Tamandua tetradactyla: one gene and its partner. The protein of the gene in region 2 purifies or fractionates together with the protein of the main gene of each other region. This does not show direct contact. Links are inferred from orthologs where the notes say so. Each region holds a gene or a part of one and is shown on either strand. Other genes may lie near its edges.

Region 1 (16,187 bases), on a different chromosome or scaffold from region 2:
TCTCCATTCTTTTTAGTCAGATTTCTATAATAACCTAATATAAAATATATTCTACTTATTTATTTTCTGTCTCACCAGCCTCATGAGCTTCATGAATGCAGGGAATTTGGTCTATTTTGTTCTGTGTTATATCCTCGTGGCTCAATAAATATTTATGAAATGAATTGAAGAAAAGTCTAGTGGGCATCAGGCATGCAAAAAAAATTATAACACATTTTTAAAAAATGTGACAACTTGCAAAGCTTAGAAAAAAAGAATATTTTCAGGCCTTGGGAATTAGGGACTGCTTACATTGTGAAAAATTGTTTTAATTTTCTCTTTAAAATATGTTTAAAGAAAATATTCAAATAATGATGCCAAATGTTATCACTTTCTAATTGATTAAAAAACAGGAATATGTAAAAACAATGATAGGTTTCATAAGAACTTAATTCCTTCCACTGTGGAAGAGGGAGAAGCAAAGAAGGGGAAGGGAAGGAGGGAGCAAAGTTAATGAAAAGAAAAGGGGAGACCGAGAGAAAGATAGAACTTGGAACTTGGATTTGATTGTGTTTTTGTTAGCCAAGATTAGAGAGAAACATTTGGACATAATTAAGAAGCAAATACATGATGAATTCTAACCTTTGAAAAGAAAACCATTGTTAGTGAAAAATTTCATTAAGGAAGCTAAAAATACATGGAAAAGAAATGAAACACAACCCTAGGGACTGTGATTTCCTAGTTTTGTGTTCTGTCTTCACCTCAGGTGTATTTTGCCATCCTGTGGCCAAATAATAGTATTGATGGTCTTCATTACAAACTGCAACATAATGTATTGGAAGACTGAAAGTCATCATTTGAATTTAAGAGTTATTGAGGAATGGTAATGCATTCTAGACTTGACAAATAAGCAACTATGTATCTTGATTAGGAGTTATATAAAGCTTCTCATTTTAAATGATCTGAGTCATTCCATTATGACAACATCAAAGAAATTGGTGAAAAATATACTAATTTAGAGTGTTGTATATGTTTTGTCTCAAAATCGAAATTGCATTCTTCTTTGATTAAAATTTTTGATGGAAAAAGTTACACACCTAGAAGGTAGATGTAGATTTGCTTACTTGGTGGATTCAGTTCAGAACTACATTCTGATCCCTAATCTTTGTTTCACAGAATAGATCTCATCATTTAATTTTCTGTACTATTGATATTACTGTTGTTGTTGTTGTATCTAACATTTACTGAGGACTTACTCTGCGCCAAGCACTGTGCTAAGGAACTTTCCATGGATTCTCTGAAGTTATTTGTGCATGGTCAGAACCAGAACCGGCACTGCGGTGTGTTTGACTCTGACGCTCATACTCTTGGGTATTTGCCATACCACCTGTCATAGTCTGCCAGGCTGGTCTGACAAACACCACACACTGGGTTGACTTTAAACAGTGGGGATTTTGTGGCTTACAGTTTTGAGGTTAGAGGAGCCCAAAATCAAGATATCGGTAAGGCAATGCCTTCTCCCCAAAGTTTACAGTGTTCTGGTGCTGGCTTGTTGCAATTCTTAGGGTTCCCTGGCTTGCATCTCTGCCTCCCATCTCATGGTGATGTCTTTTTCTTTGTGTCTGCTCTCTGGTTTCTGATGACTTCTGGCTTCTTCTATTGGTCTTCTGTGACTTTTGTTTATATTTCCTCTCACCATTTTCTCACTATTCCTTTCAGTTCATTCCAATTTACCTTCCATCTCCACCACTACACAATCATCGTTTCTGTCAAAAAGTCTGTGACTTTTTTGTGTGTCCAAATTTCTTCAGCTTTAAAGGACTCCAATTATAATACAGATTAAGGGCCACCCTATTTCAGTTGGACCACACCTTACTTAAAATAACATCTTCAAAAGGTCCCCTTTTCACATGAATTCACACAAGAACAGGAACACAGATTATGTCTTTCATTCAGCCTCCCATATCACTATTTCTTTTTATACACACTGCCTCTTTTAATTTATTGCTCACTAACATTGGCACAGGTACAATTTAATTTTTTCTATCTATACTACCATAGGTATTACCATAAAAATACTAATACTACAAGTAGTATTTTTTCTATTTAAAACAATGACCCACTAGGTAATACAGAAAGAAGAGCCTTTCCCAATTTTTTACCAGTAAAAAGTCATCCTACATTTTTCTTGTTTATGAAAACATTTAAATATAATTATGATGCTAAAGAGAAATGTTTTGATTATCAAGAACCTCACTAAAAATTACTGCTTTTGACAAATTCAATAATTAAGTGCTATTTGTAACTGGAAATTGATGATTTTCAACTGATATAGGAACACAGAAATCAATTACTTCAAATAATTTAATAAATGCTTTTGGATGATGCATTTATGAGGCTAATTATATTTAACTGGGACAAAGTTTAGTTTCAAGTTTCCGTTTTGTGTTCATTAGCATTTCTCTTCTTCCAAATAAAGGTTAAAATGTTATATAATAAACACATTAAAAAAAAATTCGGGAAGCAATACAATTCAATTTGAACCCTTCACATTATCTTGGCCTGGCAGCATCTTACCTCTAAGACAGGTGGAAAGAGTCCTCAATTTGTCACATCTAGGCTTTCACCTGTAAATAGCAATATAACCTTTGGCAAGTCACTACTTAACCTTTATTCAGACAGAATAGATATGATATTACTTATCTCATGGACTGTATTAAACTGTAAAGGAGATAATGTGTGACTAAAGATTTTTAAAACCCAAACACAGCAGTATACATCCATTATTATTATTGCTTCTCAATTAGGCAAGATACACAAGATGGTAAATTGTCCATCCTTTTTTTTTTTTTAATCTTTTTCCTATTTAAACATTCATTCTTTTTTGTCTACTGGCTATTTAACTACTTCTTCAAAGATTATCCCACAGCATTAATCCAGAGCCTTAGTTCTCAAGAAAGTATCTGGACTGTACCCTTTGATTTTCTCAGTTACTCTTCTGAAAGTAAAGTTTAGCCCTTGGTATTTTTTCAGATTTCTTCCATTCTGGTCTGGAATCTATAATAATCTTCCTGCCACCTCTCCTTTTATAATCTTTGCTCTCTCTACTTATAACCTCTACTATCAGAGGAAGGTAAGTTCTGGAAAAGAACACAGAAGACCAGCTGCTAGCAATCCTTGGTTACTCTGTCACATGGCATAACACGTGGGAAACATCTACTAGTCTCTCTCTTGTCTCCCAGATTTCAACGACTTCAGCCTCTTGCTTCCAGGGCTTTCTTTCTCTTTGTCTGAATTTCATTCTCTTATAAAGTACTCTAGGAATAGGAATAAGAACTATCCTGAATAAAATGGGCCATACCTTAACTGAAGTAGCCTCATCAAACCGGTACATACCCACAGGAATGGATTAAATTTAAATACAGCTTTAATCTACCAGTCTGTGTCAACATATAGTTTGTAGATTATAGATTTAATTTACCTGCTATGATGTATTTTATTAGAAAGTCATCTATGTAGAACTCTTTCACATCAGACGCCTCTATCAAGTTGAAGGCATTCGAGCAAGAATATAAAAGTGACGGGTAAAATAAAAAACACTTGACCAATTAAAGTATATTTTAATAAAACCATTTGAGCAATCACCCTGTAATTTTCACCATTTTTAACTGTCCAAAATCACAGCTATTCAAGTTGTGATTCAAGATGAGACACACATAGCTGAGATCCAAGAATCAGAGAAAGAGGAAACCCATGTAATTAAATACAGTGTTTAATATTAATTACATTTATAGCACAACACCAGCCTTCTCCTTGAATAGTGATGAAGTCATTTATCTGGAAGACAAATCGTGTGGATAAAAAACCATCACTTATTGTAAGATAATACTTCATTGGCTTATTTTTAAAAAAATTTTAACAGAGAAGGTTAAACATATTTAAAAAGTAGTATAATGAACTCAACTGTACCCTTCCCTTCACTCGGCTTCAATAAATAAGGTAACATTCACAGGTTCCAGGGATTAGGAAATGGACATACATTTTTGGGGAGCTGCCATTCAACCTACTATATCTACTAAGTGGTACTCAGTAGTACAGTCCATACAGGAAAGCCTTTGATTTTTTTTTCCCTTTGTTACCAATTTTCAAAATAACAAGTTGTTTCTCTAGCAACCTCCAGTGGTGTCCAATTAGAATTTTTTGCTTGACTTGTTTTTAGTATTATGAATTAATGGATTTAAATATTTGATGTAGTTAAACCTGTCTTCTCTTTGTCAGTGGCAATCTCTCCATGTTGGCTCCTTGAAACCTTTTGACGTGACCTTAGAAACTTTCCTGGCTATCTGTATAACAAAATGCTCTAGATTCATTTTGTTTTATGCTGAGCGATAACTGGAAATTTCATTTGTTTTGAATTAATTCCTTTCTTGCCTCAGTCCTGGAGTCAGCAATATTTCCTAGGAGACTTAATTCCTCTTCATGAAAAATTTCAAGGTCATAGATGTGCTCGTAGCTCACGTCTATGAGGTTGGTGATTGTAGGCTTTTTTAGAGCAATGAATGTTATGTAAGACAAAACATTGAATTTCTTTTCTTTTTTTAAGGAAAAAAGACATTTCTTGCTCTGGAATCAGAATTAGACATTTCTGCAAGGTGCACCAGTTTTGAAATACTATAATCTGAGTAATAGGTGTACTCATTGATACTGGTTGGTCAGTGTTTCTAGTCCTTTAAGGGCTAGGGAAAAAGATTTTAAATAAAATGCATCATAAAATTTCTTATTTAAATTCAGAATTTTTACTTAGCTTTTTCTCTATTAAATCATTTTCTTTCTCCCTTGCTGAAAATCCTGCGATAATTAGAACTTCTCATTATTACTTATTTTCTTTATTCCACGTCACATAAAAATACATATACAAATATATATATAAATATATATAAATACATGTATAGGATAAATTTATAAACACCATCACCATCAACACAAATACTGAAAACAGTTAACTTTTTCTGGCATTTCTTTTTGCCTTTCGATAACATTGCTACATTTATATAATCAAAATCTATGTGTTTTAAAGTCACTTGAAAAAATTCCTCTGTTCTACTATTAAGTACAGTTAGGTTGACTTGCTTCATTTTATTTTCAATTTGGGAAATTTATTTTCAAAAGTTAATTTTGTTTTATAATTAAATAAAAAATTTATATGGTTCAAGAGACAAATTGAAGAAATAAAGTATATTTAAATAAGTCTAGCTTCTATTCCTGTCCCCTCCATGCTATTCCTTCACTATTCTTCCAGATAACTGTCTTTAAAATTTTTATAGTTTACCTTTCTTTTTAAAAAAATACAAGCAAACCCATGTACACATATTTTTGTATAGCCTGTTTCTGTAAGTGGTGGCATACGAAGAACACTTTTCTCTCTCTTGATCCTGGAGATCATTGCAAAGTGGGGTACAGAGATATTCCTCATTCCTTGTTATAGGGGCAGAGTACCAAGATACTCCATTGTGTGCCATAGTTCACTGAACCTATCCCATAGGGGCAAGTGGCAGTTTTTCTAGTCTTTTGGTGTTACAAACAGTCTCACAATGAATAGCCCTGGGGATACATATTTTCACATTTTTGCCAATGTATCTCTGGGAGAGATTCCTGGAGGTAGCATTGCTGAGTCAATGAGCAAATACAAACATAATTTTGCTTGATATCGTTGGATACATATGTAGTTCAATAATTTGATGAACTCTAATAGGCAAATCAGCATCAGCTTAAGAAGTCATATCTCATTACAGCATAAAATTATTATATTAACATACAAAAATTATGTTGTGTAGTCACCATTTGAAGTATCAAAATTTGGCCAAACTTCTTGTAGATAAATTAATCCTTAAACACTGACATCATTTTAAAAATCTAATGGTAGTCTATAAAGTGAGTTAAAAAAAAAACCCTCCTCCCCTGCATTAATGATATGTATAGCTGTTATAGACTTATCATTTACAACAAAATCATATACCAAATACTTGTGAAAGAGCTTTCCAATATCTTTAATCTTCACAACAATCATAGGTAGTGGTTATTATTCCCATCTTACTGACAGAGAGGTTTTGTTACTGCAGAAGGTCACATGGTAAACAAGCAGCAGAGCCAAGCCTGATCTGGAGCTCACTCCGCAAAAGCTCTACACTCCGTATTCACTAAGTTACTTTATTTTTTCTAAGCGACCACAAAACACCTTATATTTTGGTATAATTATCGTTTTAAGACATGCAGTAGCAATTTCAAACCATAAGTTAGAAGGGAGGAAGAGAACATAAAAAAAAACAAAAAACGAGTAGGGGAAAAAAGCCTTCTCACATGTGTAGAGGTAATATGTGTGGTTAGCAGTTTTCTTATATTACCCCATGAAAGAAATTATGGCATGTGGAAACTGGCAGATTTCTGTAAAGGCCTAAAAATAAAGTGAAATCTGATTACAAATTTTTGTTAGGACTGAAATACAGTACACCACTGCTTTAAACAACTTATATGGATCTGTAATCACGCGCTGCACTTTACAATTAGTGTCAGTGTTGGGGATTGACTCACCCGCCTTCCCTACCACCCGCCCCTCCAAAGTTTACCCCTAGTCCTATAGGTATGAACTCAATAGTAAACAACAAGTATTTCTGAAGATTCTATTAAAAGGAAGCCAAACTAAATTACAGTGGGCCTTACTCCAGTGTGACTGGAATTCTTATAAGCAAAGGAAATTTGAACACAGAGCTCCAAGACCCAGAAGGCAACAAAAAAGTCATCATGAAGTAACAGAGCACTACTATGCATCTAAGTATATGGCTGTTATAAAATATGAGTTCATAAATCCAAAATCCAGTATAAATGTTTATATGGTACAAAGAGATGTTAAAATTAGGAGTTATTCAAACTTTAAGAAATAAAAAAGTTCAGATAAAAATAATTTCAAAACTGATGCAAAATCCAGTCTTACATAGGAGGAGATTTCTGCTCACAAATTTTCAATTTTGTGAATTAAAGGGCTGTTGCCTCCAAATATTCATGTCCACAATTTTGGCACAAGATCAAAATTTCTTTCTGAAACGGAACTAGCACACATGGTACCTCATTTACCTAATTTATAACAGCTAAATGAGGGGCTGGAAAACCAACAAATTGAAATGGAATCCACGATGGTTATTTAGATGCCAGGCACATCGAGCAAGAAGGAAAGAGACCGGTAAGTATTAATAAAATGCTTAGGCATTATTACAATTTTGGGGTTGTAAAGAAATAGGCAACACTCAGAGCCTCCAGAGAGTCTGAGGTTCTTGAGTTCAGGATTGGATTTTCTGCCTTTTTTTAATCCAATAACTGTATTTCATTATTTCACAGATCAGAACTAATCAGAGTTTATATCTCATCAACCCCCTCAGAGAGGATTAATTCTGTGGAGAGTAAATCTCATAGATGCTCATTAACCTCCTGTCAGTAGTGATTTTTAACCTTAACTGATGGCAAAAGCTCTAACAGTTAAGAATACCTAGTGGTAGGGGAAGAAAAGGTGGAAGGTAAGAGATTCCGTATCAGCAGTTTGGGAGTGTTTAAGGAAGAAACAAGAAGTATTCTAAAGACAATAATTCAGTGAAATTTATCTGTAACGGTATTGTTTAGTACAATTTTTCCAGTTGTCACCTGAATATTAAATGAATTACAAATGTTGTTGAAATGAAACGTTATTGATATTCCAAGAACACTATGATTTCCTGTTATTTTTCCTCCTTTCTTTAAGGGTCCCAAACAAGCTGCTGTGCAGGGAACTGTAAGGTAATTGGGTGGTAAGAGGAGAACCGAGGATAAAATGGTGTTAAAAGAAATCTCAAGGTTAAGGGATATTCTTTATATCCATTCACAAATCACCCACTCCCATTTTCTGCGTCTTAACGGCCTCGGATATCTCTAACCCTTTCCTTAAGGTCATGACAGGCTGCATCTTTTCCTCCCTCTGATAGGATGCTTTTGATGTTTATTTAAATCTGTTTTCATCGGCATGGAACTTTCGACATTTTGCTTTGTTTTGGCTTTTGAGGCTAAACGCTCTCGTTCGTTCAGACTACATTCCACGTATCTTAAAATTCTTAGAGACAAGAAAATTAGGTACTGTGCGGTCTGTTCTCCAAACAGAGCATTCTCTGTTCCCCGTGAAATGCTGATATAAAGGCAGGATTTGCTTGGGTAGAGCAAGTCAAAAGCCTATTAAACTGCACTCCAAGACATGGACGTTTTCTGCCTGCTCTCACAGCGAGAGGCCATGCGAGTTGGTGGGTCAGATTACTCACTCATGGCCTGCTGGCCGTGTGGTGTCACAGCAGTTTGGAAATATTTTAAATTATCAGCACGATGTGCTGACTTAATCCAGTGGTAAGAGTTCCGTTTTTTTTTTTTTTTTTTTTTGGCATATCCAAAAGGGTGAGAAGTTATTTAAATTTAAACCGAAAGACATTTTCACCTCTCACTGTGGAGACAACAGCGCAGCCGGTTTCGGGGAGTTACTGCTTCTGGAACGTGAAAACACAGGGCCCGAATGAGGTTTCGTTCCCTTTGGAAACACGTACACAACTAAGTGAGCGAAACAGCCAACTTGGGCTAGAGGCGCGAAAGCCCAGCGAGGCTGACTATGAGAGATGACTCCGCACTTGAAACTGCCGGGTGTACGAGGCTGCCCGGGGCCGGAAGCTGAATCACGTGACCGGGCCACCTCAGCGGCCATTCCTAGCAAGGCTGCTACCACCTCCCCGTAGACATTCCGTAGCTCCTGCAGCGCGGCGCGCGCACATACGCGTCTGACAGGAGGCGGTCTCGAGTGTCACTAGAGCTCGCGCCTTTTCCAGCATTGCATTTTGCAAGCTTCTCGCCCAGAGGAGCTGCCGGAGACTTCCGCCTGGGTGCCAACCACGTGAACATCCGACACTTGGGATGGCATCACTTCACTAGTCCAGTTCGCGGGCTCAGCTAGCCCAGCACTCTCCACGGCGCGTGACGACGCGACCCGCGGCAACCTCCGCCCCGACGCGCCTGCGCAGGCGGTTCTCGCGGTGTCTCGCGCTCAGCCCCGCCCACCTCCCGCCCCCGCCCTTTCCGCCCCTCCCTCCCCCTCCACCCTGTCTCTCGGCGGCAGCGGCGGTGGCGGCGGCTCGCGCAGCTTGTTGGCTTGCTATATAAAGGGGCGAAGCGGGCGGACCGACGGCTGGAGCTGCAGCCGGTGGCGGCAGCGGCGGCGCGGGGAGCGGCGACCGGTGTTGGTTTCCCTCCTTCGCGCGGGGTGGGGAGCGGGCAACGCCCCCCAGGCCTCTGGAGGGTCTTGGCTTTTTTTTTGTAAGGCGGTTCTCGAAGATTTTAGCTCCGAGAGGAGTGTCCCCTCCTCCTCTCTCCACCGCTCCCCTCTCTACTCCCTCAGAATTCGATAGTTTAAATTTTTCCCTAATCTTGCGGTGGCTTGGGTCACCCTCCGGGTGTCTTTGCTTTTTTTTTTTTTTGGCTTTGTTTTGATTTTGTTTTCTCAGGGTCCCCCCCCTCTTGTTTGTGTTGTGTGTGGAAATGGCGAACTCGGCAAATACAAACACCGTGGTAAGGACGTGGTTCGGTGGCCGGCGGGGGCTTCGTTCAGGCGGCAGCAACGGCCGAACCGGGCGGGGGCGGGGACGGCGGCGACACCGGCTTTGACTCCAGCCGCCCGCGCGGCCGCCGTCGCCGCTTCCCGCCTCGGGCGGCCCGGGCCGGGCGGCGGGCGCGGGGGGGCGCCGAGGGCTGGCGGCAGCGGCGGGGCTGGCGGCTGGGCCTGGGGCTGCCGCGGGGCGGGCCGGGCCGCGGAGGCCGTTGGGCCGGGACGGAGGGAGGGAGGGAAGCAGACCCTTCCCCCCGAAGCGGGCCCGTCCGTGCTGGCTCGCGAGAGGTTCCCCGAGCAGCTTCAAAACAAAAAAGATATCTGGGGAATTGGGCGAATCCCAAGACCCACCGTGATCCACTTTAACGTAGTGGAAGGTTAATGGCTACTTTGAGGGGTAGAGGTGGATTAGTTTGGATTTTCCTGGAGGCTGTGCTTCGGTAACCTTCACTGAGGCCATTTTATGTTTAAGAAAAGAAGGACGAAGGTTGGAAAGCACTTATCTCGGTTCCTTCGGAATCGGTAAAATGGCGAAGGGGAAGCAAAACCCCCAATCGTATCTTCGACTAGCAAAAGCACCAAGACAAACAAAAAAAAGCCTACAGTGCCCCTGCTTTCGCCTTAAAATTTGCCTACTACTACCCGTTTGTCCCTTTTTGGTTACTTGCGATCACGTAGGTTTGCAAAAAGCAGTCACATAAATAACCTTTTCAGTCACCAACGCAATATGATCACTAATCCACCCGAGTCGTTTATTTTTATTTTGAAAATAAAACACGTTTTTGCCCGGCCCCAAATGCCGCAGACAAACCCGCGGCCGCACGACACTGTACCGTTGGCGACTCGGGTCGATCCATCATGGCTGCGGCCGCTTACCCTGCTTTTCAGTCCCTGAGCCTTGTGGTCCTCCTCCCTTTGGCTGCCCTGTTTATATAGAGCCATTGCCGCTCTCTAATATAGACTCTGCCAGGATGGGAAGGTGCTTTTCAGGCCTACGTCACCGCCTCTCCATTTAAACACCAGATCCGGCTTTAAATAGTGAGAGCTGCTGCGAGCGGGGCTGGGAGGTGCGTGCTCCCGAGGCGAGAGGCAGGCGCGTGCGGAGCTCTTTTTATTCTTGGGTCCAGCTCTTTTTTTTCGCAGCAGTTTCACACCTAACTGGGGCTGGTCTCGGAGCCCCAAGGTTTTGTTTTAGTGCAGGAACTAGGATTTGCCTTCTTTGTTTTTGTCAGGGGAAATAGTCTCAAATTGCTGTCCAATTAATCGCTTTGTTTTTTTAAAAGAGGGTTTTAGATGGTCTAATCGTTTTTCTTGTTATTAGGAAGTGTCAGCATATATTGTTGGGTATTTAAAAATGCTTTCCACAATAAGTGTTAAATGTAAAGGATTTGATGTTGGTAAGAATATTTTGTTCATTAAGTATCAGGAAATATGTTAGAAATATAGATGCTCATATTGCATTGTGTTTTCTGCTAGTAAATATCGAAAAATAGCAGGCGTTTCAAAGAAATAGTTTTAAGACCTTATGCCCACGGTACGTTTGTGTGGGGAGTAATGAGTGTAGACTGGATTTAAGAAATTAGTAAGTAGGCTGTGCCCTTATTGCTTTAGATAGTAACATAGTTTGTTGTATGAAAATCCACAGTTTATTTTCCAACATTGCTTTGCATGTTTGTTGCTATAATACTGATTTTTTTTTTTTTTTTTTTTTTTTTTGCCAGAAGGAGTCTATAACTTGAATCATTTAAAATACACCAGGGGACTAAAGAAAGGAACTGTCTAAATTAATTACTTGAGAATGCTACTAATAGCCCTCGAAGTTAACAGTTTTTAAGTTTGGAATATCTGTTTTTTTACAAATGAGGACACACCTCCTGAATTACTGTATTTAGCAAAAAACAATTTTTGCTTAAGTTTAGAATTTTAAATTATAATTTGGAAATTGTTTATTTAAAATAGTGGCTGTATACCCACGTATTTTTTAAAACATCAGTGTTTTTAGAGCTTTTCAAAGAGATTTCTGCTAAATTGTTCTTTATGCATATACTTTATGAAGAATAAACATTTATCTTCCTCTTTCATTGATATTGCTTATGAATCCAGCAGAAGTTATGGGTTCATTAAGGTATATAAAAACAAAATCTTAAAGCAAGATGGATTCATTAAACAGGAAAAAGCAAATTTGTCCCTGTAAATGTCTGAATTTTCAAGCCAAAGATTTTTAGGGTTCACTGGCTTCAGGAACACCAAAACAACAGTAGTTGCTGAAAAAATAATTTATATAATCTATTTGAGATATATACTATCAATTTAAGGTTATATTGCTGCTTTATAATGCTTTGAGGGGTTATTATTGGTTTAAAAAAACCCACTTAATAGGTGTAGCTTTGTATTTTGATAGTTAAATTACTGTTACGTATAGATGGTACTTTATAAGTATATAAAAAGAGATAACACTTTTTATAGATGAGTGATGCTAAATCCACAGAGGCAAATTTAAATAAAAAAGCAAGTTGGTGAGTGATACAGCAAAAGTGAGAATTCAGACATATGAATTCTTTTTCTGTTTATAATGAAAAGGAATTTATATTTTTTAGTGGTTTGGGTATGTTGCACAGACTCAGTATTTTGACCAGACAAGGACACATTTTCTTAGAGGGTTTCCTTGTGATAGCAATAGCTAATAGAGGTGGTAATGAAACATTTATTTGTTTGAAGTTTGCTTATGAGAACAAATCCTTGACTTTATTAACTAGTCAGAAACTTTATGCTTAAGCAAGGTATAAAACTTTATGGTTAAGCAAGGTATAAAACATAAACATGACATCCTACTTGTCATTAAAAACAGATTGTTGATCTTTATTCTTTGTGATAATGAATGGGATTTATAATGAATTAACTTCAATTTCATCACTCTGATATATAAACTTTCTTTTGTCTAACATGTTCATAGGATATGAGCTGGGCTAATTGGTCTTTCTCCCACTTTTTGGATTTTAAATACTTTATACTTTTAAAAGGGCATCCACGTTTACTCTCCTTTTATCCTTCTGACAGCCTTCTAGGAGCCAGCTGTAAGCCCCCCCAATTAAAAAATAATAGTAATATAATAATAATAAAATAAATATTGGAAGTGTTCATGATTCTCTTCCATAGCATCACCTGGAAAGTAGTGGAAGGAAAGAGGTATCCTGGGAGAGAATTCAGTGTATCTTGTTCTCCTGGAACTATTAAGATCTGTTATTTTGGGTATATAAATGATTTAATGGTACAGTTTCAAAGTACGGATTGGATGACAAAAACAGAAATAAGATGAATTTTGAACTTGACTCCTCATTAGGTTGCAGATTATTGGCAGGCAGCTGACTATAGGACACAGGGCTCTTCAAAGTCTAAGATTTAGTGGCAAGGTTATGAGATGAATAGGTCAGACCATGCAGTAAATAGTAGGAACCAGACATAAGTATCCCACAAAGCTAATATTGAATATCACATTAGGTGTTTTGACTACAACATAGAAAAGTGTAACTGGTTAACTATGTGAGCCAGTTATATAGGACGTTCTGTTTATGAATTTTATTAAATAATCTTAAAACTTGTATTATAACATGCAGTCATTGAATACTCTAGTTCTCTATTATCTTTTTAGTTCCATTTAGTTTTAGGTAGTTGTAAAATGACTATTGTATTACATTTAATTTGTTTTGAATTTGTGAAAACCTATTGTGTTCAGTATGTGGAAAAATGATATTTTTCAATAGCCTTTTATTTTTCTTTTAAAGCCTAAATTATATAGATCTGTAATTGAAGATGTTATTAGTGATGTGAGAGAAATCTTTCTGGATGATGGAGTGGATGAACAAGTCCTCATGGAACTAAAAACTGTGAGTTTGCCTTTTAAAATATATATATATTTTTAAAATTAATGCTTAGTTTCCCAAACATTACTTTTCACTGAAAAATAATCCATAATTTTTCAATAGGATGAACTTTTGACTGTTGCAGGAAGCAGTATTGTTTATTGAAGGGTGCTGCTCTGGGGTCTGACAGCTTGGTTTCAAATCCCAGTTCTTTCTCTGACCTTAGGCAAGCTACTTCCATGTTTCAAGTTTCTTATCTATAAGATGAGAATTAATAGTATGTACATCACAAGATTGTTTTGAGGATTAAATACAATAACCATATAAATAAGTGCTTAGCATACTGCCTGGCAGAACATTAGCTGTTAATAATGGACAGTTAGCATTTTACATTTTATGATCTAATTACTTGTCCCTTCTTTTTTATGGTCTGAACGTACTTATATTCTGAAGTCTGTTTAGGTTATAGGGATTGAATAAGAGCTTGATAAAAGAATTTCAGGCTCTTGAGTTAAGTCCTTTATCTGGGCCAAATATGTTTCTAATGTATTTTACTTGGGAAGGTGATTTTCTTTCTGTTGGATTTAAGCAGAACGATTTAGATACTTTTATTTAGCATTTGTGTTTTCCTAGTATTATAATGATAATGAAATCAAATGGAATATTTTTGCCCTATTGTTTCAAATAGTGGTTCATATAGTGTGGTCTCTGCACAACTGGGGACTCCCTTGAGGTCCTTTCAGGGGGTCCACAAGGTTTGCCAAATGTGTAAGTATGAATAATCATAGCTTGTCCTTCATTCAAGTGAGGTCGTGTTCCCTGAAGAAAAGTGGCCAGTTCAGCTTGCAACTCAAAAGCACAAGTGCTCTTTTCTTTTAAGGCATTTCTCACTAAAAAATGTTATTTATGTTAACATATAATGGATTCATAAATATTTTTTTAAAATTAATAGTTTTTAAAATTTTTAGCTATAATTTCTGTTACTGTAAGTATAGATATAACCCACATAAACAGAAGTTTTTTGAGATCCTGAATAAATTTTAAAAGTATTAAAGCTGTCTGAGACTAAAAAGTTTTAGACCTCCTGACTTAGAAATTAGGTATTGCGCTAATTCAAAGCTATGTACAAATAAGTAATCACAGTTAATGAAAGCTAAGGAACATTTAGCATTGATTCTGGGGTTTATTATTACCTGATCTTCATCTATTCCAGTCCTGGATGTTTTCTTCCTAAGAAGATTTGCTGCTGAGATCTGGGAGGTGCTGCCAATGACAGCATGTGCTCCTTCTTAGTTTTGATGCAGGAGTCATGGGTTCAGCTCCTGGAAAAATTGCTGTTGGTGCAAGTCTTGGTATCTCTGTAACAGTGCTGTTGTTAGCATTGCCCTTAGGGGAAAACTGTTTCTCCTATCATTTCTTACCAGAAATATAATTAGTAGTGTTTTATCCAGGAGCTAGATGTTTTGTGAAAATAAGAGAATTCTTCAGAATTTGTAGCCTAGCCTACTGCAGGAATCAACCCTGTGAGGTGTATGTCTAATTACCTATCTCAGGAAATAAACTTAGAGGGAATATGCTAAAGATCAAAGGTCATTTAGCTAGTAGGTGGTAGAGACTTGAAGGTCAGTAAGAAGGAAGGTGTTAGAGATATAACTAGATTTTGGTTTAGTGACAGGTGGTACCTGGTATGATTTTGAGGGCCACTCACTTGTTGTGAGTGCAGCAGTATATTTGAGATTAAGAGCGTGGACTAGGGTTGGGACTAGGGTGCAAAATTTAATTAGACATTGATTTGCAGGATCATGGCCCTGGGTGGGATACTGAAGTCAGGTTGGTTGCATTGTATTCAGAGCTGTATTCTGTTCTGCTGGCTCTTCGTTGGTGATCTTGGATCTATCTATGCCTCAGTTTCCTTTTCTGTAAGGAAAAAAGGCAATAATAATCCCTATTTCATAGTCTTATTGTGAAAAATCGTTCTGTACTTGTAAAAAGTATACAATAAGAGCTCATAGATGTTACTCTATTATTAGTCTAATTAACATCTTGAATCATTTGGGAAACAGAAAATGCGTTTTCTTCATATCTAATTTCAGAGACCTGATAATTTAGGTGGGGCTGCCTGAAACAATAGCTATGTGTTGGGGGGAGAGAGGACTATAAAAATGGGGGGAAAGGAGCATTCTTTCTGTTTTCTAAGATAAATAAATAAATAAATAACAATTCAGTATTCTTTGTTGTCTTCAAAAGTTATTAGTATTACTGCTGTCACAGAAAACTGTTAAATTGTTTAAACAGCTGTTTACAAAAGAATCTTTTGATAAATAAAATTGTATATAAAATGAAATAGAGAAATTGTAAACATTCAATAATTCAAATTTTATATTATTTGATATTTTAAGATTGATGAGTACTTGTGTGGTACTATTTTTGTGTTCCTCACGGCATCTAGAACAGTTTATGACACTTTAGTAAATGCTGATTCTTAGTAGATTACTACCCCATTCTCCCACCACCCAAGTTGTTGGGAAATGCATGGGGCCGTGTTTACTTATCTTAATGACTAGTGGACTCCTCTGGCATTTAGTGGGAAGTAGCCAGGGATGTTACATATTCTTCATGTTAAATTTCCTGTAAGATTATCCTTTACAATAAAGAATTATTTTGCCCAAATGTCAGTAGCATCCTTGTAG
Region 2 (16,545 bases):
ACCCACCTAGAAGGGTCACATCGCCATCTAATCAAAAGATTATACCCACAATTGGGGGTGTCACATCTCTGTGGATATAATCTAACAAAAGTTTCCAGCCTACAGTATTGAATCAGGATTAAAAGAAACAGTTGCTCCCACAAGATTGGGTTAGGATTAAAACATAGCTTTTCTAGAGTGTATAGTACTTTCAAACTGGCACACCAAGTCATACAGTAATTCTACTATTAACTTTCTGAAGAATCACCAGAAGGTGGGGCCCATCTAGTGATGAAATCCCTCAGCTTTTGTTTATCTTGGAATGTCTTAATTTCCCCCTCAGTTTTGAAAGACAGTCTCACAAGATATGAAATTATTGGTCAGCAGTGGTTTCCTTTCAGCACTTTAAATATTTTACCCTACTGCCTTCTTGCCTCCAAGATTTCTGATGAGAAATTAGCACTTAGGATTACTAGGACTCCCTTTTGTTTTTCTCCTGTACTTTCAGAAGTTTCTCTTTGTCCTTGGCATTTGAAAGTTTGACTAATATGTGTCTGGGCATGGTTCTCTTCAGGTTTATCTTGTTTGGTGTTCATTGAACTTCTTGAATATTCATATTCATGTCTCTCATTAAATTTGGCAAGTTTTCTGCCATTATTTCTTTGAATAGTCCTTCTGCCCCTTTCTCTCTTTCTTCTCCTTCTGGAACTCCCATAACGTGTACATTAATACATCTGATGGTATCCCACAGATCGCTTATGCTCTGTTTGCTTTTTTTATTCTTTTTTCCCTTTCTGCTCCTCAGCCTGAGTCATTTCAAATGTCTTGCCTTCAAGATCACTGATTCTTTCTTCTGCCAACTCCAATCTGTCCTTGAAACCCTCTAGGGTTATTGTGATCTTCACACTCTGATATTTCTGTTTGGTTCCTTTTAAAATTTTTATCTCTTTATTGGGATCCTTATATTGTTCATTCATTGTTTTCTTGATATCCTTTAGCTATTTCTCTTTGTTTTTCTTTATCTCTTTAAGCATATCAAAGATGATTTTTTTTTTAGAGTCTTTTTCTGGTATGTCCAAAGTCTGGCCATCTTTGTTGATGGTATCTGGATTTTTATGTGTTCCTTTGTATGGGCCATCATTTCCTCTTTCTTTTTCCTGTATTCTTTCATTGCATATTGTACATTTTAAAATTTTTAAATTGTTAACTCTGCGATTTAGTTCCAGAGTTTTCTCTTCCTTTTGTGTCTAGCTCTGCAGGTGATATAGCAGAGATTTCCTTGCATGCCAGGAGTAATAAAACAAACAAACCAATGCAAAATCACTTTTCGCAGTCATTGCGAACTGGCTCTGCCTTGGCTGGTGCTCTCCTTCAGAATTTAGCCCTTCTATCAAGAAAGTGAAGAGCAGGATTCACTCTGACATCTCAGAGCCTGTCTTGCCCTGGTCTTATGCTCACTACGGGGGCTTAAGAATTCCTCCATATATAGGAATTCAAATGCCTTGTCCACTCCTTATGAAATAGACTCTCATTCCCGCCCAGAAGCCCTGTTGTATGACTTGAAGCAGGTAAGGCTTTGCCCCAGGCCGTTTTTACTTAATTGTTTCTTATAAGCTACTTCTTCCTGCAAGATACATTTTTGGAGGGTGAGCACAAGACAAGTTTCCTGGTTCTGTCTTGCAGGCTGCCACCTCACAGATGGGCACCCACACACAGACACCCCAGTATGTACAGAGTCACCCCATAGGGGGTGACTCTGTTCTTTCCAAAGTAGAACCAGGGCCCCACAGTGGGAGCACAGGCTGGCTCCAAACTGCATGGTGGGGTGGGGTGCCTGGGAGGGACCAACAAGGGTGCCATGAGACTTGCCTTCTGTTTTTAAATCTTGTTTCCTTCATTTGATTCTTGTCCAGTTACTGTAACTTTTTAACTGTTTTCTGGTGTTTTGAGGAAGATAGCTCTTCCAGTTTTTCTAGTTGTTCAAAGATTCTGTGGGAAACATCTCACACTGCCATCTTAGTCAATCAGAACTGTTTATATTTTAAATCCAATGAAAAAATTTTTGTCCTTCTCTGGTAAGCTCAATATGTTTATACACAGAACATGGTTGAATTATTTTTCATGTATTATTGTATTTTCTGTCTTTTTACTGGTGAGTTCAATCCATTCACATGAACTATGCTTACTGGAAATTTAGGACTTGTTTCTATCTTACTTTGTACTTTCTATTTGTTTTATTTTTCTGTGCTTCTTTTTCTCCTTTCTTGACTTTCTTTATATTTGTTTACATATTCATTTTCTTCTTCTATTTTTGCCTTCTGCTAGACAGGTTACTTATATAGTAATTTTATTCTTTTAGGATTAGTAATATTCTTTTAGTAATCATATTTAACAACTCAAGGTTTAAAATTAAGCACACCTTAACCCCTCTTTCGAACAACACAAGTCTTCCAGACACTCTTCTTGTAACAACTTATACCCCCAAACTTAACTGAGTTGCTAAGTATGATACAGTTTCCAGAATGAAAATAAAGTGGGTAACTTTTCTACCACTAAAGGGTGAATTTCATTTCTAAATAATACTTTTACTTAATATATTTCAAAATAATGTTGTTTAGGACATACAAATTTCTGGCAGCTTTATCTTGTGAATTATTTATCAAATGACCAACCAAAATAGCTTCCAGTAGGTGATATAAAGACCCATATTTACCTCTGTGCCCCTCCAAACATCTATTAAAATGACAGAGAAAATACAAGCAGAAAAATAAATTCATAGCAGCACCAACATCCTGGATGAAGTGTCAAACAGAAATCTAAAACAGTGGAAAACTTCTGGAGCATATAAATTAGATGTCACATTAGAGTGCTGTTTCTGAGGAGGGCAGTGGGCTGGTAGGAAGAGGGGAACAAATGGAGACCACTTTGTGTGTGTGTATGTGCTTGTTTGTGCGTGTATTTTCTGAATTGAAACAAAGATATGTACTCATATACCATCTGTGTAGAAAGTTACATAATCATCTATAAGCAAACTAGATGGATACAGATTCAATGATAAAATCTAACAGAGCCAAGGATCTTTTTTATCATCTTTCAATGATAAAATCTAACAGAGCCAAGGATACATATGACAAATGCCATAAAACAGTGCATTATTTATGGCTTTTTAGTGTGTTTTTATTTCTGGCAGTAGTAATGTTCTTCTTTTGCAAAATTTTCTATGATATGCTCTTGCATTTTCTTTTCCAGATGAAATTTAGAATCTGAATAATTCCATAAAAGGTAGTTCTGCCCATGTATTGGGATGCTGTTAAACTTACAGATAAATTTAAGATGAATTAATCATTATGCCACTGGGTCTTTCCATGCAAGCAGTTTTACATGGGCTTCTCTTTTTCTCTCCATCTTCTGTCTCTGCTTCTCTCTCCATGTCGGTTTTGTCCTCTGTAGTAAGCGTTATTCTCTTCCTTGCAGAGGAGAATGTCAGTTTATAGCTCTTAAGTCACATCTTCCCAGTTTCACCACCAGAAAAGGAAATTGCTCTTTTCCCCAGTTTCTACCCCAGTAAAACCTTGGGCAGGACACTCCTTGGCTGGGCTTGGGCACATGTCCACTTCCAAATCAACCACACAGCCAGGAAGGTGGTGTAATGCATCAGTCTGAGTCCAATGAAGAGATAAATCACACAGTAATTTGGACAGAGACAGTATAACATAAAGAATTATCCCCTATAACAGGGGATTGGAATATTGAGTGACTGGCTATTAAGAAGTAAAGAGAACTCTAAAGATCATAGGAATAGCACAGATAAGGAGCAGCCGCTAGGCTTAAGGCTGAGATGGCGCACCCGGGGAAGAGCCTTCTCCCCTCTTTACATGGCTGAGATTCAGACCTGTTGGAGAGGGCATGACTGTGGCTCTCTGGATGACAGAGGACTTGCCATGATGTTTTGCAGACATAATTGGCTGGAAATCTCTCCTTCTAGTGCTAAGGAAAGCAGTTCACAGGGACGTTTCTCACTGGGGGCACTCTGCTACAAAACCACCTGAGGGAGAGGGGATGGCAGGGACAGGGGAGAGAGCTGCAGGAGATGGGCACTGGGGAAGCTCATGTGTTGCAGGAGGCATATACACTAAGGGAACCTGCCTGACTATCCAGCTTCTATATATGCTCTTCTACAAAAAAAAAAGAAAAAAGAAAAAAATACTGTGTTTCTACCTGGCAAGATACAACCACGTGTAGTTCTCATCTTGCCCTTCCTCCAGAATGAGGACATACAAAATATTATGCATTATTCCATGCATCACTGGCTATATTAATCAAGCCTTAAATTCAGTCATAGTACCACCGAATATTCTGTTACCTAAAGACTAAATTGTAAGGTTAATTTCTAACAATTTGAATATATAATAAAAGTAGAAATCAATGATAAGGAGAAAATGGGGAATAAATACAAATAAACACATATAACAAACCAATAGGAAATATGTAAAGACATTACAGTCTTTGTCTCTGTAATTGTTCACAAGGATATAATTAATTTCTCTAGCATCCTTCTTTCACTACCCATTCTGTATTTCCCCTACTGTTAACTAGAACCTCAGTTGGTTGGGATTCTTTACATGGTGGAGTGACCCAAAGACTTGGAGTACCTCAAACATTGTATCTTTTATTTTTGGTTACTGAAGTTTTCCATTATCCTTAATATCATACATGGATGCACTAAGAAGAACCCCAGAGAATCCCCTGAGTTGTAGATCATTCTCCTTGCCTCCACTGTATAGAAACAAAGCAATTTTCCCTTGGAAAACAGGATCAACCACTCCAGCCAGTAGACTATTCCCTGTTTCTGATTTTTGGTTCAGTTGCATTAGAAGTCTAGGTGATAGTCTTATCTTCCAACTTACTGGAACCATTGTTGTGTCCCCTGATGGAAGCATCTCCCCCTGGGGACTAAGATCTCCAAACCAGCAGTGGTCAACGTTGCCAGGTAAAGAAGGAAAAATTCTGAGAATGAATTATTTGGTAAAAGTATGAGAAGAGACAGTCCCACTTCCATTTCTTGACTCAAATGTGTTTTGGCTTGGGGGAGATAGCACCATATAATGGTCTATGGTTCAAAACAACCTATAAAACAGAATCCCATCATTCCCAAGCATTGTCTCCTAATTGGGACCAGTACTGAGTCTTCCGTAAGTCATTTCTTCTTTCAGTTAAACTAGTTGTATCTAGATGATTGTGTATGTAATAAGACCAGTTAATCCCATAGGCACAGTCCCATTGCTGCACTTCCTTCGCTATGAAATGAGGTCACTGATCAGATACAACATTGCATGGAATGTCCTGGTGGTATATAAGGCATTTTTTGAGTTCACAGATAGCAGTGCAAGCAGAAACATTATGGTCAGTGAAGGCAAATCCATTTCCAGAATATGTGTTTATTCCAGTGAGGATGAATCTTTGCTCCCTCCATAATGGAAGTGGTCCAAGGCAATCAATCAACCACTAGGTTGTTTGCTTATGACCTTGGAGAATGGTGCCATATCAGGGACCTAATTTGATCTCGGCTGGCTAGTTAGGCACTCAGAAGTAGTGTCAGCCAGGTTAGCCTTGGTAAGGAGAAGTCTGTCTTGATGAACCCATGCATAGTCTCTATCCCTACCACACGGTCATTTTTGCATCATTCATTGGGCAAGCACAGGGGTGGCTAGGAAAAGAGACTCATTGAAACCCACAGTATGACATTTTGTTCACCTGATTAAGAGTCTTCTCTGAAGTGGATACCTTTAGTGGGCATTCATAGGACACAGATACCTTCCCATTCAGAGAAGTACACCCATAGACCTTACTTGTCACAAATCTTCTAATCCATATCTGAGCACTGGACAAACCATTAGCAACCACCCATGAATAAAGGTAGATCTCTACTTCTGGCCATTTCTCATTCCAGACATGGTGAACAACCAAATATATTGATCAAATTTTGCTCAATGGGGGGATTTTCCTTCACCACTGTCCTTCAGGGTCACCTGTGAATGGGGCTTGGGAAGCCTCATATGCTACAGGAACTGCACACAAGAGGAGTCATCAGGGTTGTAGGAACCTAACAAACGGAGTACACTGGAACCAGGAAGCAAAATCCTTTCCTTTTTGCATGCTCTTTCCAGCATCCTTTAGTGACTAAACTCAACATTGTGGTAGCTAACAAAAGAAGAATATTTACAGAGTCCAGATCCATTTTCACAGAGAAGGCAAAAAGACTGAATTTGGAACTGAGAGGCAATAAATCAATTAGTTATATGTACTATGGTTGGCCCAGCTTAGGTGAGAAATCTGCCTTTCCACCAATTGCCTTGGCTATTGCAGCTCCTATTTTGAAGGACATCTTAAGATTGGTAGTAGGGAAAGAGAAGAGTTGTTCCCCAAATAAGGGGAAAAAGGTACTATTTTCAAAATAGGAGAGGACTGTTAGGCTGACAAAAACAATAAACAGCCTCTACACTTGAACCTTTGGCAGCTTAGCACACACATGGGCATGCACACACCCAAATAGTTTTCCCCATATTTCCAGGTCCTCTTAACACAAAACAACTATGGATTTTTGGGTTTGTTTGTTTTTTGCATATTCCATGTGCAATTGCAAATGTACTTAATCCACATAACATCCAGCCATTGAATCCAGCTCCAAATTCAGGATATTTGAGTCTTGTCATTCTCAATGAAGTCCCAATGTTGCTAAATGTTGAGTAATGAATCTACCCCCAATGCACCAGTAGGCAATAAGGGGGAAGAAATGGGATAGAAAAACTAAAGAGAAATGGCAAAAATGAGAAGCATATACAATGGATGTGAGTGTATACTATACCCTACCAGACAAGGGCAATAAGGAATCACTAGGTTAGCAGAGAATTTAGATCTTTGATCAACCAATCAAATGCAAGATTTCTTTGTTCCGTTGACCTCCAAGACTTTGCCTTACAGAGGTAGTGAGGTGTTGGGAATTGAATTATATCCCCCACAAAAGATATGTTCAAGTCATAATCCTTGTTCCTGCAGGAGTGAACCAATTTGTAAATAGTACTTTTGAATACGCTAAGGTGAGATGTAAGGAGAGGTCAGGGTGTGGATTCCTATGAGGATAGAATCTTTGAAGACCCTACTTTTAGATGAGGCCAAATTGAATCTGATGGGCCTTAATCCATATGGCTGAAGAAATCTAGATAGAGACACAGATGACTGAGCAGGAGAAGTAGAAACTAGAAGAGGAAGCCACCTGCCAGAGGCAGAGATGCAAGCCAAGGAACCCCAGGATTGCAGCAAGCCAGCACCCAGAATGCTACTGACTCTGGGAAGGGGCACGGCCTATCAAGACCTTGATTTTGATTTTGTACTTACGGCCTCCAAAGTGTAAGACAACAAATTCTTGTTGTTGAAACCAACCCATTATATGGTATTTGTCACAGCATCCTTGGAGAACTAAGACAGAAGAAACCTCCTGCCTGGGACTACCCTGGCCACCTACTTCATCTTCCTACAGCTATAAGGCCTGCCTGGAACATTGCCTTTGAGACAGCACAATGGGAGGTGCCTTTTGCCAAGTTGAGGAATACTTGCAATACCTTGAAACTTTATTTGGCTGCCAGTCCTGTCATTATGATTTGGGGGAAATCCATTAATGTGCTATCAGAAATCTCATTCAATTGTGAACTTTGAATATGCACCTTGCTCTCCCAGTTTCTATCTCTTGGAAACAGGCCTGGTAACTCCATCCATTTCTCTAGATTATTGTTCCACAGTTTTCACCACAGAGTCTGTCAGACTCCATCCCTTAAGTGGTACACCACTCAATTGGGATAATGCCCTCTCTCAGTTGGAAGGGGAACATGGCAGATGTCTGGCCAGAGTCCTGGGAAATGAGGCATACCTGATCCCAGTTTCCCTGGATCTCTGCATTCTTAGTTAATGCATTAAGTTTATGTAGGGCAGAAAATTTAGCTATTTGAATTCATAGAGTAGATATTATCTGACTTTTTCAGTGTAGGATAACAACCACTGGCAGAAAGTACCTCTCTTAACAAAGCTGCGTAATTATGCCACTACTGCCCATCTCTTTCAGAAAGACCACGCTGAACCACAGTTTGTCTCTCTCATAGTACTAACTGAGGAAGGCAAGAAATAGCCAAAATATTCCAATTGCCTTATTTTTTAAAAATCATGTTTCTTAAAGTTAGAGCCTTACTAGGCATAACAAATAGCAATCTGAAAGTTTTGAGTGCCTCTCAAACTTTCTGGTAAAGGATCAGATTGTTTGGGACTTTTTCTTCTTTTTTAATTACTAACCCACCACCACGGGCAAATGCTTTTGTAAAATACAAAATGGTATGCTTGGATTTCATGGCAATGTCAAACTGCTGAAAGTTTCAAAATGCTTCTCTCAGTTTCTGTATTTATTTCATCGCCGACTACTAGTTTTCAGTAGCACTGGTCTAACCCACAATGTCTGATACTTTCCCAGCCTGGGACAGATGGCTTTTCAGTCTCCACCTCACCTTGACTAAGCCAGTTCTACATTTTCAGATCTGACAATTGCATTTCCTCATTTCAAACTACCAATTTCTGTATTCATTGAGATTTGTTCAGACCATAGACCACATATTTGAACCATACAATGTGTTGTCTCCCAGCTGACACCTGAATGGCACATTATAAGACCAGTGAGGCCCATGGGCTTTGGCCCATTGTCTGACTTCTATCACTGCGAAGTGAATTATTTGGTCAGAGGAATGCTGCATGGGGTAATGTGACAGTGTAGAAGCGTTCAGTAAGTCCACGAAGAGTGGTTCTGGAAGCAAAACCAAATCCAATTCCACAATGAGGAACTATTGTAGCAAGGCAAATTGTTGACCAATCTGTGAAAAAAAGGGAATTCAAAGTAATTAGCATGCTTGACATCAAATAGTTTGTGGATCCCCTTGAGGAAGGATGCCACGTGAGAACTTCATAATTGGTCTAATTGGTCGCTGATGCTGCAAAACTGGCTATTCTTCAGTGACAGTAATCTCAGGAATAGATTTTTTCCCTGCCACCTCCTTAGCAAATCAGACCATATCACTTTCAGCTTAATATCTGGAAGAAAATTCAAACTCCTATGGCCTACAAGGCAGCAAACTGCGGGTTCAAGGCCTAATTTCTCTCCAATTTCATCTTACATTGCTCTTCCTTTTGCCTGCCCCCCGATGCCCCAGCCACACTAATGCCAACCTCAGCAAGCTTTTAGCACATTCTGTTCCCTCTGCCTGGGACACTGTTTGAGCATAACTCCCAACTCCATTCCTTTTCCATTTCAGCTCCTCCTAAAAGTCTGCTCCCCACCTCTCCATAGACATTTCTAATCCACCCTGATGTTTCTTTTCTTCATTTCACCTTAAAAGCCCCTATAATTATTTAATATTATTCCAATAATGCCAGTATAGCAACGCAAAGAAAGTGGGAATTCCACAACTCTAGGGAGCTTTTAAAGGTTTAGATATTTTTCTAAATACCCAGAGTGAGATGCACAAGATCAAGAGGCATTCTTGGATGATTCATAAATAAATCCTCAAATGGTTGCAACCACTCAAATCCCCTAGACTTCAGCTCATGGTTTCTCTTTCAAAAGGACAGTGCCCGTTATCATTTTTCATCTTCGGTTCACACCCAGCTCATGGTTTCTCTTTCAAAAGGACAGTGCCCGTTATCATTTTTCATCTTCGGTTCACACCCAGCTCATGGTTTCTCTTTCAAAAGGACAGTGCCCGTTATCATTTTTCATCTTCGGTTCACACCAATCAAAGGCCAGGCACCCAGAAGCCCGCCTGATGTTCCTGTAATAACGAAATCCGGGCTTCGCGTTGGCCTCGTGCGGGAGCAGAGGCTTACGAAGGGAGCCGGGCTCGGGAGCACGGGCCCGCGCCAGCCTGGGACGGGGGGATCCGAGGGTCCCGCGCTGCTCCCCGGGCCGTTACAGGAGCGTGGCTGGCGCGCGCCGGGCCTCGCAGAACGCCCGGAGGGGCCCCCGCAGGCCCCCGGCACGGCGGTTCAAACTGGCGAGTGTGCGCCCCTCGCGGTGCCCGGGTCATTCCAGGGCGACATGGGCGCAGAGCCGCGGAAGAGCCTCGGTAGCCAGACGCCCGACTTCCACGTGAGCGCCCTCCTACCCCGGTCTCTGCTCACCGCCCCTGCTTGGCCTGCAGCGACCCCTTCACCGGCCACTTCTGCCGCCTTTCCCTTTCCTCCCCTCTCCCGCCTGCCGCCTCTCCTCTCCCGCCCCCGATCTCTCCTCGCCTGCCGCCCTCTCTGATCGGGCTCTGGGGCGCAGAAACCTCTGAGTGCCTCGGGGCTCCCGAGGGGACCCAAAAGCAGGAAGGAGACTCGCAGGAGCAGGCGACAAAAGCGCGACCTCGGCCCCCTGCGGTATCCACCTGTCTGTCCGCCCGCCCGCGCGTTCTCGGCGCCGCCTGCCAGCGTGGAGGAGGGCCGGACTCCCTCAGCGACACCTTTCTCGGCATACCGCAAATGAAAGCATTTATTCTAACCGGGAGAAAAAAATGAAGTAGGACTTTTTCACAAAACAAGTCTCCTTTCATTGTTAAGGAAACTGGCTCGGCCAGTTATGTTAAATGGCGGATCTTTTCTGTATATTGAAAGTTGTCAGATTTTGACCCAAAAAAAAAAAGAGTCCGTTTATAATATATTATACGCCAGAAATTACGTATACAGTTTACATATCAACTAAAAATGTGCGAGCGAAAGTGTTTCCAAAATCTTTTTAAACGGTTCTCGAGCAAAAGGGCAGGCCCAGCCCCACCGCCTGGGGAACCCCCACCCGGCACATTCGTCGCAAGGGGCCCGCGGCCTGGGGAAGCAGGAAGAGCGTGCGGCGGTGGGGGAGAGGCAGGGGCCGGAGCAGTGAGAACCGGATGTGGGTGGCTAGCGGAGAGCCGAGGCGCTTCCTGTCGGGCGGCGCTCTAGCCGCCGCGCGCCGTGTCTGTGCTCCCCCGCGCCGCCTCTATTTATTGTCGCGGGGAAGCGGCTGCCGCCCCGGACCCGGAACAACAAAGCGCCAAAGCCTGAGCTCGCGCCCCGGGGGCTCCTAGCAACGGGCGGGGCGGGAGTTCCATGGAGACTGGGGAGCGCGCCCGCCTCATCATCATCCTTGTCCTCCAGCTGATCCTTCGCGTCCGCCGCCACCGGCAGCAGCGCTGCCGCCGCGTCCTCTGCCGCCGCCCCCTCTTCCCACGGTAACCCCGGCGGCGACCCTGGGCGGCGGCGACCCCTGGGCGGGGGCGGCCTGGGGCGGGCGGTGAGCGGCGAGTGCGTGCGGGGGTCGGCGGCTGGGGGGCAGCCCGGGCCGAGCGAAGGTCCCTTCCTCCGGCGGACGCAGCGATTTCGGGGTATCCCAGTAGGGATAACGGGGTGGGGGTGGGGCGTGACTTGCCGGGAGCGTTCTCCAGGCGGGGGTGGGGGAAGAAAAGAGGGGCTTTATTTTCCACGGCGGCCACAGCCGGGGACGGCGGGGCAAGGGAGCGCCTCCATCTCTGCGGAGTCCTCCCCGCGGGGAAGAGGGACCGTCTGAGATGCTGAGGCTCCGTTGCTTCCCAGAAAACTTCCAGCGGCCTCCCTGCCTGGGCGGGAAGGCTCCCGAATAGCAGCTTCGTCAGTTCCTGATTCTGGCGCTGCCGGCTGCCCCCTTTCTTTTATTACTATTATTGTTATTATTGTTTTTGACCAAAATTAGGTTGGATGAAAGGGGATCTGGACTGAGGAAGTTAAAATGAATTGTGGATAGGGCTAGTCAGGGATGAGAGTAGGGATAAACGTTTAAGAATAGCCCTAAAAGTGAATCTGTGAGGAAACGACGGTTTTGTAAGAATTTCTGCTGCTCACGGGACGTGTATCTGCAGGCTCTGTCAGCGCGCTTATTGCGATAAGACTCAAATGCAGCAAACCCACATCTGTGAGCTCTCCAGCAGCATCTGTCACCTGCCGTTGCGAAGCTTCACTGGCAGCAACTTAGCGTGGGCTTGTGTATTTAGGGCTACGAACGGTGCCTTCAGTTGGCGGCTCAAGAAAAGGGAACAAGCTTGGTGTGATTTTTGTATGAAGAAGCAACGACACGTTCCCCGGGGAAATTGAGAAAGAGAAATCTAAAGAGAAGGTTCCGCCATCCTGGCATGGTCTGCAGTCTTTATTTGAAAGTTTGAATAAATGACAGCCTCAGTCAAATCTAGAAGGGACTTTGATTACTAACCGGTTTAAGGAATTATTCACAGCTTGATATGGCCAGTGAAATAGTCATCAGTGTATGCTTTCTCTTTAAGCCTTATATCAACGTACTGAATGTTTTTTTTTCTTTCCAAAACCATTCTAGGTCAGTAAATGAGGTTTGCCTGTGGCAATCTGAAAAGGCCACGTGTTCATACTGCAGTAATACCATTTTTGTGTACAATGGGAACAAAGCTCTGTCTGTAAAAATCACGATTAAAGATAAAAGCAATATTGGTAAATCATAGAAATAGTCATGGCAGCGGCAACTTCTGGTTGTCCCCCACCATTCTCGGCAACACTTGTCTTCTCTTAAGGAAAAAGATGTCCTTATCCCTAGCCTCACCCCCTCTGCCCCCAAAATCAGTATCAAAGTATAATGAGCTACCAGTAAGTGTTCTTCATTGAATGGTTGACTCCTGAATGAGGGCTAGCCAAAATAGAGTTTTAAATTCAGTTGGGCATTTTCATTTTAAGCGGTTAATCTCAAATTGAAGTCCAGTTTCTCTTATTAAAGGAATATTGTGTCAGTACAAAGAGGTAGGCAGTTTCACTTAACAGGTACGGGAAGTATGAGCATTGGGGAAATTATAATCCCATTTTAAGACTGTTAGAAAGGAAAACTCAACACTGTCACTTTTGGAGTAATGAATCAAGGACTGTTGCTTAATCTTTTCACATAGCTGTTCTTCTAGAAAGGACATGCCCCGGGGTCGGGGACGGTGTGTGTGTGTGTGTGACTACTTGAGGCCACCAGAATTTTTGTAGTGCACATGAGACTTAAGGAATTCCCTCTTATCTCAGAGCTGCCATCAGACTCACTTACCTAGATCGTATTTGCTCTTTCCTCTTTCCTTCCATATTTAAGTGTAGGTTAAACCTTAGCTTCCATCTTTATTAAAAATCCAATTTCTGCTCTCCCAGCTCTCTGGGTCTTAATTTTTTATGTTATTAAATTATTTTTGCTTCCTTTTGGGTTTTCAGCATATGTACTCAGCCTGTACACCCTTTTAGTTCTGCTCTTTGTTGGGTTTTCTTCTGTGTTCCTCCTCTTTATCTGGAAAATTGGAGTAGCTATGTCAGTGTTTTGAGTAACTATGAGCTACAGGTGAGAGTCTTATGCTGAGCACCAAATGATTGTGTGGAAATGATATGCAAAAGGTATTTAAAAACTTCAGAATGAAAGTTTTTTTGAAAGACTAAGTTAATACTAATACTAGTGTTAATATTGTCATTGTAAGCAGTCACTTTTGAAGGTAAAAGTATTTTAATGCCTGCTGTGTCTTATATTGAACCTTAGGTTTTTATAGTTCTTTTTCAAAAAATAATTTCTTAACCTACCTTTCTCATGATCTTGCAACTGAATATTTGATTGATGATGCATTTTGCAAAATTTGAGGAAGCTTTTTAAGTGCTATCCATAAATTTTAAATGAAAGATTGTCACATCAAAATTTTTATGCAAGTATACATATATAGGATGTACAGAATTTGCTGTAGAGCAAAAACAACTGAAGCACACTGCTGAATTTTCTTGTTGGAGAGTATTATTTCTTATGGCTGTGGCACAATATTTCATAAATCAGCAAATACTGAATAGTCTAACTGAGTGTGATCATGCTGTTTTCAGGTATAGGAGCCAAGAATAAGCTAGAGATTGATGATTTCCTTATGTTGCATCATAGGCCATGTGATGAAATTATTATGGCTATGAAAAATAAAGTTGATTTAGAGGACTTAACAGTAGAATGTTTTCGTAGTGTCTCTGGTTTCAAAGCTTGTAATGCTTTTAAAGCAAAGCTGTATTGTGACATTGGTAGTAATGAAGATTTCCTGAAATTTACATTCATGTTTGCTGCACCTTTTCTATACCTAATGCCCTGTCAAGTAAACAAAGCTGGATGACAAGTGTCTCTCTTTTGGCACATAGATGGCAGGGCAGTGACATGTATGGCTAACAACATGGCAGACACAAATTGGAACGTTAAACCCTTTTATCGCATACTGCCTGGGACTGTAGTTATTGATGTACATATTTCATGATGCCTGCTAAATTAGAAGTTCCTTAGGGACCAGATTATGAGTCACCATCACATTGTATGTTCTTGTATGTGTGTGTGTTTTGGAGGTAAAAGTGTTAATAGAAGGAGAAACACATACACGGATACACACACAGACAGATATTTTATTTATTTTACTTCAGGAGAGCCCATGAAGAGGGCCTTAGCTGGTGGAATGAGAGAACCGTGCTCGATGCATAAAATTTCCAACTTTTTATCCTGGCTGTAAGTTATAAACAGCAAAAATTCCTCAAATATGACTAAGGCATTGTTTGAACCAATTTGAAACAGTCAAAAGCATAACAAGTAGATATGATGTTTGTGCTTGTCACAACATCCCTTTGAGAAATTTCAAAAGGGTAATCATTTTATAAATATCTCAGATCTTTCCAGGTGGTGTAGACAGACTTCATTTTTGCATTATGAGGCAGTCAATCTTTTAATTAGATGAGAGATAGAGTGTTTGTGTGTAGTGTAAAAAGCAAGAATCCACAACGTATGTCATTAGTGGAAAGGAATCACGTTGTAACTAATTTTACTCATCTGGTCTTACCTTAAAATTCAGAATTTGGGTTTAATAGCTGGTTTGGAACCGGACATGTGCTGCTAGGGGTCCCATTAAATGTTTTAAAAACAGCAAAGGAACTTTTGGGGCAGTTCAAATCTGCCTTTATGTGGGAGTCAGTAATGACACTGTTTAAGATTTCACACACACACACGAAATGCTGCACAAGCATTTGAGTGTTGACTTTTTCAGAAACAATACTGAAAATCAGGTGATGTGTCAAGGACAGTTTTCTTAGGACCTGTGTGGATGATTTAGTACTGGATGTGCTTAGCACAGTAGGCATTCATCTAAAGACATTGGCCATGGCATGGTTTTGTTTTTTAACTTAGTGAGCACTTGTAGCATCTTAAAAGAAGAAAATGTTTGTTTCTTTTGACTACGTGGTTCAGAGGAATCAGGGTGTTACCCTCTTCCTCCAGATAAGTTACAAGTATTTTCATTGTTGAGACAGAATGAAATTTTGATCAAAATTTCTTGACATTTGGGTTAGAGGGCTGGAAGTAGTTTTGTGTAGTGTTTAGTGTATGCTCTCAACATAGGCTGCCTGGGCCCAGCATGGGAACCCTGCTGCTTTTTAGCTGCATAGCCTTAACCAAATTATTTCACTATCCCAAGTCCCAGTTTTCCCATCTGCAATATGGGCTTAATATTAATATTAGTCCTATGTCATAGGATTGCTGTGGAAAGTAAGTTTGGAGGGTGCTTCGCCAAGTTAAGAGATGAATAAATGTTAGCTGGTGCCAATAGTAGTGTTACTAGATAGTATATTAAAGATGAACCTTTAGGCCATTTGAATAATTGTTACTTTCTTTTGGAGGCCTTCGCCTGAAGCAGTGAAATCTCTTCTTTGTGATCACTAGCTATTAGAGGATTCATTTCTGCTTTTAGGTGTTTGGTGGGAGAGTACTTCTATTTTACTTTGAATTGTCACACAGGCATCTGGTTCTCACTGGCAGTGGACTAGGTGAAAAGAGACCTCACTGTTTCTTGGGGAAAGAGAGTCAACCAAGCGTGGCCTGGCTGGCATCACAGTGACTTCAGTGCTAGTCCCCAGGGGTGTGCTGCTTTTGTGACTCCACAGCCTTCTGAATATGAGGGAAAGATACCAGTGGTTTCACCTGGGGGAACTTGTCCTGCTTTAGAAGACACTACTTTTTACTTGGATAACTTAATGGATGGTAAACTTGAAACTTGCTAGTATGTCAGTGTCAAGCATTTTAACTTGTGTTTTCTCTGTTACTATTAATGTTCTAAATAGTAACTTTCTTGTAATTCCAGAAGTCTCTGAAATGGCTGTAGTGTTCCAGTAATTCAGGTGGTTCAAGAACGGCTGTAAAGTTATTCCCCAGCACGAAACCAGCTATTAAACCAAATTCTGGATTTTTAGCACCCTTTATTTATAAAATAAGACCAGATGAATAAAATTTCTGATACGTCCTGCTTCCTTTCCACTAATGACATGCTGGTGGAAATCATTGCTCTTTCACAACTGTACAAATAGGCACACTCCATTTCTCTTCTAAATAGAAGGTTGAATGTGTCATAATAACAAAACTCAAATTTATCTAGATGGCCTGAAAGGCCTGAGATATTTATAAAATGATCACCCTTTTGAAATTTCCCAAAGAGATAGTCA

What was found.
Region 1: the proteins of TBPL1 (region 2) and GTF2A1 purify together in Homo sapiens (affinity purification with mass spectrometry; 5 studies listed by BioGRID and IntAct, counting the BioPlex papers as one, with this or other methods). This does not show direct contact. The link is inferred for Tamandua tetradactyla from reciprocal best matches to the Homo sapiens genes TBPL1 and GTF2A1.

Annotation. Positions count from the first base shown.
Region 1 is NC_135338.1:40,817,914-40,834,100, reverse strand, and holds the start of GTF2A1 (transcription initiation factor IIA subunit 1), read left to right. Parts: upstream 1-9,137; 5' UTR 9,138-9,570; coding exon 9,571-9,600; intron 9,601-13,419; coding exon 13,420-13,521; intron 13,522-16,187. UniProt on the Homo sapiens protein: TFIIA is a component of the transcription machinery of RNA polymerase II and plays an important role in transcriptional activation. TFIIA in a complex with TBP mediates transcriptional activity.
Region 2 is NC_135351.1:34,320,018-34,336,562, forward strand, and holds the start of TBPL1 (TATA box-binding protein-like 1), read left to right. Parts: upstream 1-10,049; 5' UTR 10,050-10,159; intron 10,160-10,180; exon of another isoform or gene 10,181-10,570; intron 10,571-10,999; exon of another isoform or gene 11,000-11,258; intron 11,259-16,545. UniProt on the Homo sapiens protein: Part of a specialized transcription system that mediates the transcription of most ribosomal proteins through the 5'-TCT-3' motif which is a core promoter element at these genes. Seems to also mediate the transcription of NF1. Does not bind the TATA box.